Caenorhabditis elegans: one gene and its partner. The protein of the gene in region 2 interacts with the protein of the main gene of each other region in a pairwise test. Each region holds a gene or a part of one and is shown on either strand. Other genes may lie near its edges.

Evidence for each region.
Region 1: the proteins of F23A7.3 (region 2) and rab-6.2 interact in a two-hybrid assay, tested with the Caenorhabditis elegans proteins (one large-scale study listed by BioGRID).

Annotation. Positions count from the first base shown.
Region 1 is NC_003284.9:17,220,679-17,224,605, forward strand, and holds rab-6.2 (Ras-related protein rab-6.2), read left to right. Parts: upstream 1-1,796; 5' UTR 1,797-1,800; coding exon 1,801-1,861; intron 1,862-1,921; coding exon 1,922-2,034; intron 2,035-2,086; coding exon 2,087-2,192; intron 2,193-2,518; coding exon 2,519-2,630; intron 2,631-3,221; coding exon 3,222-3,376; intron 3,377-3,425; coding exon 3,426-3,496; 3' UTR 3,497-3,787; downstream 3,788-3,927. UniProt on the Caenorhabditis elegans protein: The small GTPases Rab are key regulators of intracellular membrane trafficking, from the formation of transport vesicles to their fusion with membranes.
Region 2 is NC_003284.9:16,218,000-16,221,926, reverse strand, and holds the start of F23A7.3 (Crinkler (CRN) family protein), read right to left. Parts: upstream 1,918-3,927; 5' UTR 1,912-1,917; coding exon 1,759-1,911; intron 942-1,758; coding exon 804-941; intron 162-803; coding exon 111-161; intron 59-110; coding exon 1-58.

The DNA of each region.
Region 1 (3,927 bases), 1.0 Mb from region 2:
GGTTTTCGGCCAGTACTTCGGTGTGCGCAAAAACAAGAGGGTGTGGTTTTCCGCTTGTGGAGCCGACAGGATGCTCCAAAATCAACCCCCTTTTAGATGAACACACGTCGCTATACTTTGTGAATGTAGAGAAAAAAGAATTTCAAAAATCGGTTCCGTGAGAGCCGAGATATAAACGTTCAAAGTTGTATTACACATTTTTCGGACATTTTTTGAACATTTTTTGAACACCGAAAACGCGTGTGTGTGGCAAGATGGGGGTTTTAGGAAGGAGGCAGACAAAAAAATTTGCCGAACGGAAGAGCCTCTCGTCCCTAGTCTGAATCTCACTGTTTGAATTTTGTTTAGACATTTCCCAGAGTTTGGACATGAATCTAATGACGATTCAAGTATCGTTTTCATTTTTTTTGCAATTCAAGTTAAAACATAATAAAACCAATCACGAAAATGCCTCCTACGCATTTATATCAAATTATGACTCATTTGGTCTCCTTCAGTGGAAATTAGCTATTTAAAACGGTGATTAAAATGCTTGAAAGTAAACCAAAAAAAAGTCATAAATGTTTTGAAGTGTTTTTTTTTAATTTTTACGTCTGTTTTCTTTAAATAATTTTCCTTTAGACTTGTTTAGATTGCTAAAAATGGATTAGGCACATTTTCCAAAGTTCATGGCACAGCTATAGCGAATTGAAGTTACTAATTAGAGTTTTAATATTATTATTTATGAAACAAATTTTTTAAGAACACATATTTTCTGTGAAGAGTTCATTTTAAAATTAGCTATCCATTTGAATATTGTTTTACGATTGTTTGCCGAAAATTATTCCAAAAGTTCCGAGACTTTTAGTTTCTATAGTTCGGATTATTCTGAATTCTGAACTAAAATTTTCAAATGTACAACTTTTCATGTTAATTCAAAAAATGACTCGTTTGCGCTGCTTTTGTGACAGCTGCATATTTGAAACACTGATAAAACTACGTTTTTTATTTAAGTCTGCAAAAATTGAAGTTAAAAAAATAAATCTTTGTTTTGGAAAAAAATTCAGTATTAGTATTAAATATTTCGATTTTTAACTGTGTACTTTTTTCTTTTAAAACCCTCTTTTTTTAAAATTATTTTTTAAAATAATTTTTGTATTTAATAACAGATCAGGCAAACAAATTGTTAAGAATTAATAGAAATTAAACTTCTGAGCTGCAGTTTCAGATTTGTTTGAAGTTATTGAACAAAAATCAAAATTCCGAAACGTTAAGTTGACCTCTATTCAAAAAACAAACAAAACTCCCTCATCTAAACGTGTTGTTATGGTCAGTGCGCAGTGCGCAGGTGTGGATTTACGAGCGGCCGAGGGGTCGGGTCTCGACGGGAAACCCCTTTCGCCTGAGTCTCTGCCCCTGCATATCGCTACGTGGTTGACCGGCTGAGAGGGGGAAAGTGTTCACTGCATAGCATATTTCCGTTTTCATAAACCTTTTACGGTTTAAATTCATCAGTTTTAGCTCGTTTCGCTTCAAATTTCTCATTTTCGTCTCCTTTTTTTTTCGTTTTCTACTGCTCAGTTGTTCGTAAAGCGAGGAGAGACAATCGATGAGAAAAAGAGACACAGATGCGGCCCAAATGTTGCATTTCTCCTCTTTTCCGTGCCTTACACCCGTTCTCCTATCGATTTTTGTCCCTGCGTGGCAGTGACCACATCTCTTCCGTTATTTTGTCTCGTGTTCGTGTTCCTCTTGCGAGAAGTTTCATTTATAATTTTTTTAAAATAAAACTTGATTTAATTTTAGAAAAATTACAGAAAAATGTCGGACTTTGGTAATCCGTTGAAGAAATTCAAGCTTGTGTTCCTCGGGGAACAAAGTGGTGAGTATTTTGATTGAAATTCTACCGTAGATATTGAATTCTCAAGTTTCTAAATTTCAGTCGGAAAAACCTCCCTAATCACTCGCTTCATGTACGACTCCTTCGACAACACCTACCAGGCCACCATCGGAATCGACTTCCTGAGTAAGACCATGTACTTGGAGGACCGAACCGTAAGAAATCAGTTTTTGCGTAAAGAAATGATTTCAAAATCCGTAATTTCAGGTTCGTCTTCAACTTTGGGACACCGCTGGACAGGAACGTTTCCGCTCACTCATCCCATCCTACATCCGTGATTCTACAGTTGCTGTTGTGGTTTATGACATCACCAGTAAGTTTGGAAGAAGTTTTTCTGATGTTTCATGCTGTAAAGCTTCACACTGGATCCTCTGGGAGAAATTTTTTAACTATAGTAGTGTATATAGTAGTAACTATAATAACTATATTGGTTTAATACTACAATAGTCACTGGCAGCTCTAATGCGAAAAGCTTCTAGCAAGAAGAGAAGCTCAAAAAACAATTTATATTGATAGAAAAGTTAGAATCCAAAAGGAAACCATTATTTTTTGTTTAATCTTGATTTTGAACTAGGGTGGGCAATGAAAAAACTCTCGGTAACGACAAAAAAGCTTCATTTAACCCCAACTTTTTTGCAGACTCCAACTCTTTCCATCAAACTTCCAAGTGGATTGACGACGTCCGTACTGAGCGTGGAAGTGATGTAATCATCATGTTGGTCGGCAACAAGACCGATCTTTCCGATAAGAGGTTCGAATGAGAGTTTCCGCTAAAAATTCAATTAAATTGTGTAGTGGAAACGGCGGAATATGCATTTAAGTAGCTCCAGGCTGAAGTTTTAATCGGCATAACTTTCAGTATGAAATCTTGGCTAGCTTAAAACCTTCTCTAAAGATATTGTTTGGAGATAGGAAATAGCTTTAACTGAAATTACGTTAACATAAATTGGATCTGCACTAACTTGAACTAGCTTCAACTGGACCTACCTCAAGTTTATTTTTTATAATCAGAGCCTACGCTTTTCAAGCCCAAGCTCTCTATCTCCAGCTCATCCTTAAACACAATTCAGTTGAACCTACTACATAAGCTACATAAGCTGAATCTCCCATAATTTGATTTTTCCTGAGCAAAATCTACGTTACATTAGGCTAAAAATGCGCATTCTAAACAGAATTAGTTCAAGCTAAACTTACCTTGCGCTGGCCTGTTTCGAGCTGATCTTGCGTGGTCTTAGCTGAACTATCTTTTTCTGAAACCTGTTAACCTAACTAATAAACTCAATGTGTAATGCTCCAGGTCTATTAATTTGTAACTGACATAAGACTTACATATTTTGTTCAGGCAAGTCACCACCGACGAAGGAGAGAGAAAGGCCAAGGAGCTTAATGTGATGTTCATCGAGACTTCTGCCAAGGCCGGCTACAATGTGAAGCAGCTTTTCCGTCGTATCGCCGGAGCCCTACCAGGAATCATCAAGGACGACCCAGTGGAGCCACGTAAGTTTTAAAAACCTTTTTAACTTCAAAAAGCCATGATTTTTTTCAGCAAATGTGGTCACGATGGACCCAATCCGTCAGCGTCAAATTGTCACCGACGAGGGATCGTGCTGGTGCTAATCTCTTTGTATTCCTGAGCAAAATGTCAAAAAAAGGTTGTGATACTCCAATCTCAACGCATAATTTATTTAAAGCATCCTCCGCCCCCGTAATGGTTTTGTCATGAAGAAATATTAATTATCCCCCTTAAAAGCGCTATCGCCAGTAAGTTTTGATATCTTAAAATTCCCCAAAAACATTATCGATTTTTTCTGTGTGAATGAACTCTGAATGGCTTCTTCTCTATTAACTTATGCGATGGTAAACATGTGTAATTTTCTTTGTAACATAATAAATTATTATTATTTTAAATTTTTTGCTTCTTATTTTTGCTTGGCTAATTTTAAGTGTGATAATGATTTTTTTTTGTTTTCATTTTTACTCTCCCAACATCTCTGTTCTCGAATAAATCTTCTCCGCTTTTGGTGTTAGACTAGCAGCAGTAGATCACG
Region 2 (3,927 bases):
ATATAACAGGCCAATATAATTTCAGATTGCCATTTGGTAGCAATTGAATCGATTCGATCTACATAAGCATTAAAATTTCAAACAAATCGAGAAAGAAACAAATATCTAACCTGGTGTGGCTCAGCATCTTGTTCAACTGCCACAAAATTTGTCCCATCGATCTGAAAACATACATAATTAATTTATTGTTGGAATTCCCGTTTTTTTCTTTAAAATTTGATAAAGTTTACTTTTGGAGCAATTTTAAAGCCCTCGGAAGTAGTGTGAGAATGCACTGTTAAAATTTCAAATTCGACTATTTCTAGTTTAATCTATCTAAAAGATTCGTTTTATTATGATTATTTCCAATTCATGAAAAAGTATAATTATTTTGAAAAATTGGCTCTGCTTCTATCTTGGTTTCTTTTTTACGCTTTTGGGTCACACTTTTCCACGAAAAAGGAATTTTTATATTTTTTGTATATTTTCAATGAAAAATTTAGGGGTCGCAAATCTGAACGTACAACGTCCGGACCGGACGTACGGTGTCCGGTTTTCAAAATTTTGAAAATATACCAATAAGAAGAGTTTCAAGTCTGCCGACAATTTCCGAGTTTAGCCACTCACTATACTCATAAGCTCTATTCAATTTTATAATGAGTAACCAAACTCGCAAAATGTCGGGCGACGTGAAAACCTACACATCGGAAAAATTTAAAATTTGTAAAAACCGACGACGTCGGATTTTCCAGCTCCAGAGAAAATTGACAAAATAATTCCGAAAATGAGAAAAATTCATTTCAAAAAAAAAAAAGCAAAAAAACCTGTGTTTTCAGTGGGCCGGATTTGTGATCGCGAAGTTTCTCATACAACATTTTCAGCTGATCATTTTCCATCAGTCGCTTTGTATCGGGCGAAGAAACTATTGTTGGGAAATACGCAATGTACTTTTCGTTTGATGTCTGAAAATTTTTAATTTGTTTTGAAAGATAGTGGGTCAATTTTGATTACTGAACCCGACCAGTTCTTGATAATTAAAGATGGAGTAGCGCCATTGGAAAAATTGCTTTAAAAGATGCTTATGGTACCACAAAGACCATGACCAAAAATCATAGTAAAAAAATTTTTAAAAATTTTCTAAATTTTATATGATTGTTTGAAAAATGAACAAATCTCGAATTGCATCAAATTCCCATTTGATTTACCTCCAATAGTTCGATGTTCGATGGAGCGCGCTTGCCTTTTTTAATTTTTATTCATCAATTTCTCTCATTTTTGACTTATTTTTCATGTTTTTTTGTGTGATTTTACTAGAAATTCAATGAAAAATTCAAGATAAATGTAGATTGTCCACTGAAAATAACTGAAAACAAAGAAAGAACGTTTTTCAACGACGTTTAGCCTGAACAAATCTATTTCACAGGTTTAGGCTTTAGCGCCCGCTTTTTAATGAAAAAAATTACAATTATCTTGAATTTTTCAATTTATTTCCAGTAAAATTTCTAGAAAAAACATGAAAAATCAGTCAAAAATGAGAGAAATTGATGAATAAAAAATTTAATAAAATGGCAAGCGCGCTCTATCGAGCATCGAACTATTGGCGGTAATTCAAATGGGGATTTGATGCAATTTGGGTTTTTTTTGTTGATTTTCGAAAAATAATATAAAATTTAGAAAAAATATTTCAAATTTTTAACTGTGATATTTGGTCATTGTGGTACCATAGGCATGTTTTGAAGCAATTTCCCCACTGGCGCTAATCCTCTTTAAAAAAATTACCTCTTGGTCAATTTCCCAAATCATGTTTTTAGGAAAATGTGCTATGACAAAAGGGCCATCACTGGGAGAAGTTAGACCTTTGTTGACTTTTTTGAATTCAAATGCGTTTGGCTTGTCCTCGGCCGTTTTTCTTTTGCAAATGATTCGTACCATTTTTTGCTGAATTAAAAATATTACGTATTTATGTATATAACGTACTTTTCATTTAGTATTGTATCCCATAATAAATTATATACATATATATATATATATATATATATATATATATATATATAAAGTGCTGGCCAAAAAGATATCCACTTTCTGTTTTTTGATGATTTCGATATTTTTTCCATTGAGCATAACTCCAAAACTAGGAAAGCTATCAAAAAAGTTTCAACTGGTAAAATGTAGCTCGTGATCAGGCCTATGTATTTTTACATGATTAAATTATTCACCCAAAACATGGCAAGTGATAAAGCGGCCGACATCTCGTGAGTCCGCTTTTGATGATGATTACTAAAACGACTGTAACTCGAGAAACATATTTTTAATGGAAGGTTTTTAGAAAGTAACACGATGTTTATATAATTTTTTATTGTTTGAACATACTAACTTCGTCCTGAAACCTCCATTGAAAAAGACAAGAGAGTTTAAAGAAGAGAAGTGTAGAGTAATATCGAGCTCATTTCTCAAAAATAGTAGATTTTTTTTTCTGAATTCTGTTTATTGGTTAATATGTAGTTCAAATATAATAACAACATCAGTTCTTCACAAAAATTGTCGGAAAAAGATTTTCAATCCAAGAAACCTGATTTTTGAACAAAGCCTCTAAACAGTGTCTAATGAGACACTAGTTTCAGCGCACACATTTTTTTAAATGGAGGTTTTAGGACAAAGTTGATATGTTCAAACAATGAAAAATTAAATAAACATTTTGTTACTTTCTCAAACCTTTCATTAAAAATATGTTTCTTGAGTTACAGTCGTTTTAGTAATCATCGTCAAAAACGGACTCACGAGATGCCCGCCGCTTTATTACTTGCCATGTGATGGATGAATAATTGCAACATGTAAAAATACATAGGCCTGATCACGAGCTACATTTTACCAGTTGAAAATTTTTTGATACCTTTCCTAGTTTTGAAGTTATGCCCATTGGAAAAAATATCGAAATTGTCAAAAAACTGAAAGTGGATATCTTTTTGGCCAGCACTGTATATATACGCAATTAGTCGTCAAACGAGGTTGCATTTAACAACGTAGCACGTAGGGTCAGAGTGTCCCATTTTGGTTTGAACTACGTAAATCTACGAGAATTGGAAGGCAGAATTTATAAGCAGACTTCTCCACTGATTTCGCATGGTTAAGAACGTACCGACGTCACATTTTTTTGGAGAAAAATTCCCGCAATTTTTGTAGATAAAACCGTAATGGGACAGCATGACACAATGTGGCTTAAATTAACTGAGCTTTTCACTGAATTAATAAAGGAGGAAAACATTCAAAAAATTAAACATATCCCGCGAAGTCACTGGGAAACTTTTTATGAAAAGATGAAATAACGCGTGAAGCCCTATTAGCTGACACACTCACTGATATGCAGCAGCTATTGAATTTTTTTTCATTACGCTGCTTCTCAAAAAAGATAGTGTTCAGTGAGAGGCACAGACGCTCGCTCAGACTTCAGAAACATGTGACATGTGAGAGACGCAGACATGTGCTTTAGCGGTGCAAAAAAAGAGCAACGGGAATAGTGACGTATGAAGCTCAGACCAATTTCCCACAAAAACTACTTGCAGTAGATTTTGTGAAGCAATAACATAACTGAAGGTATTGATAAGGAACCGGTTGATGTATACAAGTCGTTCATCAAGCGCTCTGACCCAAAAAGATTGAACAAAACGGGTAGTGACTTTCTTTTATGCAAAGTCAATTTTCCGAACTGTATTTTAAAAAATATGAAAAAATATGCCATCCAAAATTTAAAAATCATTGAACAAAACAATGCAAATTGCATTATACGTCAATCACAAAACTATACATGGCCAGGCTGTTGCATTATTGTGCAATGCCATTGTGTAAGATTCTCCAACATCTAAAACGTATAGCTTTTACACGTATTGCACTTTTTCTACACACGGCATAGTGACTTCCATGTCCGCCGAAAATGGTCCATCACCGTTGTTT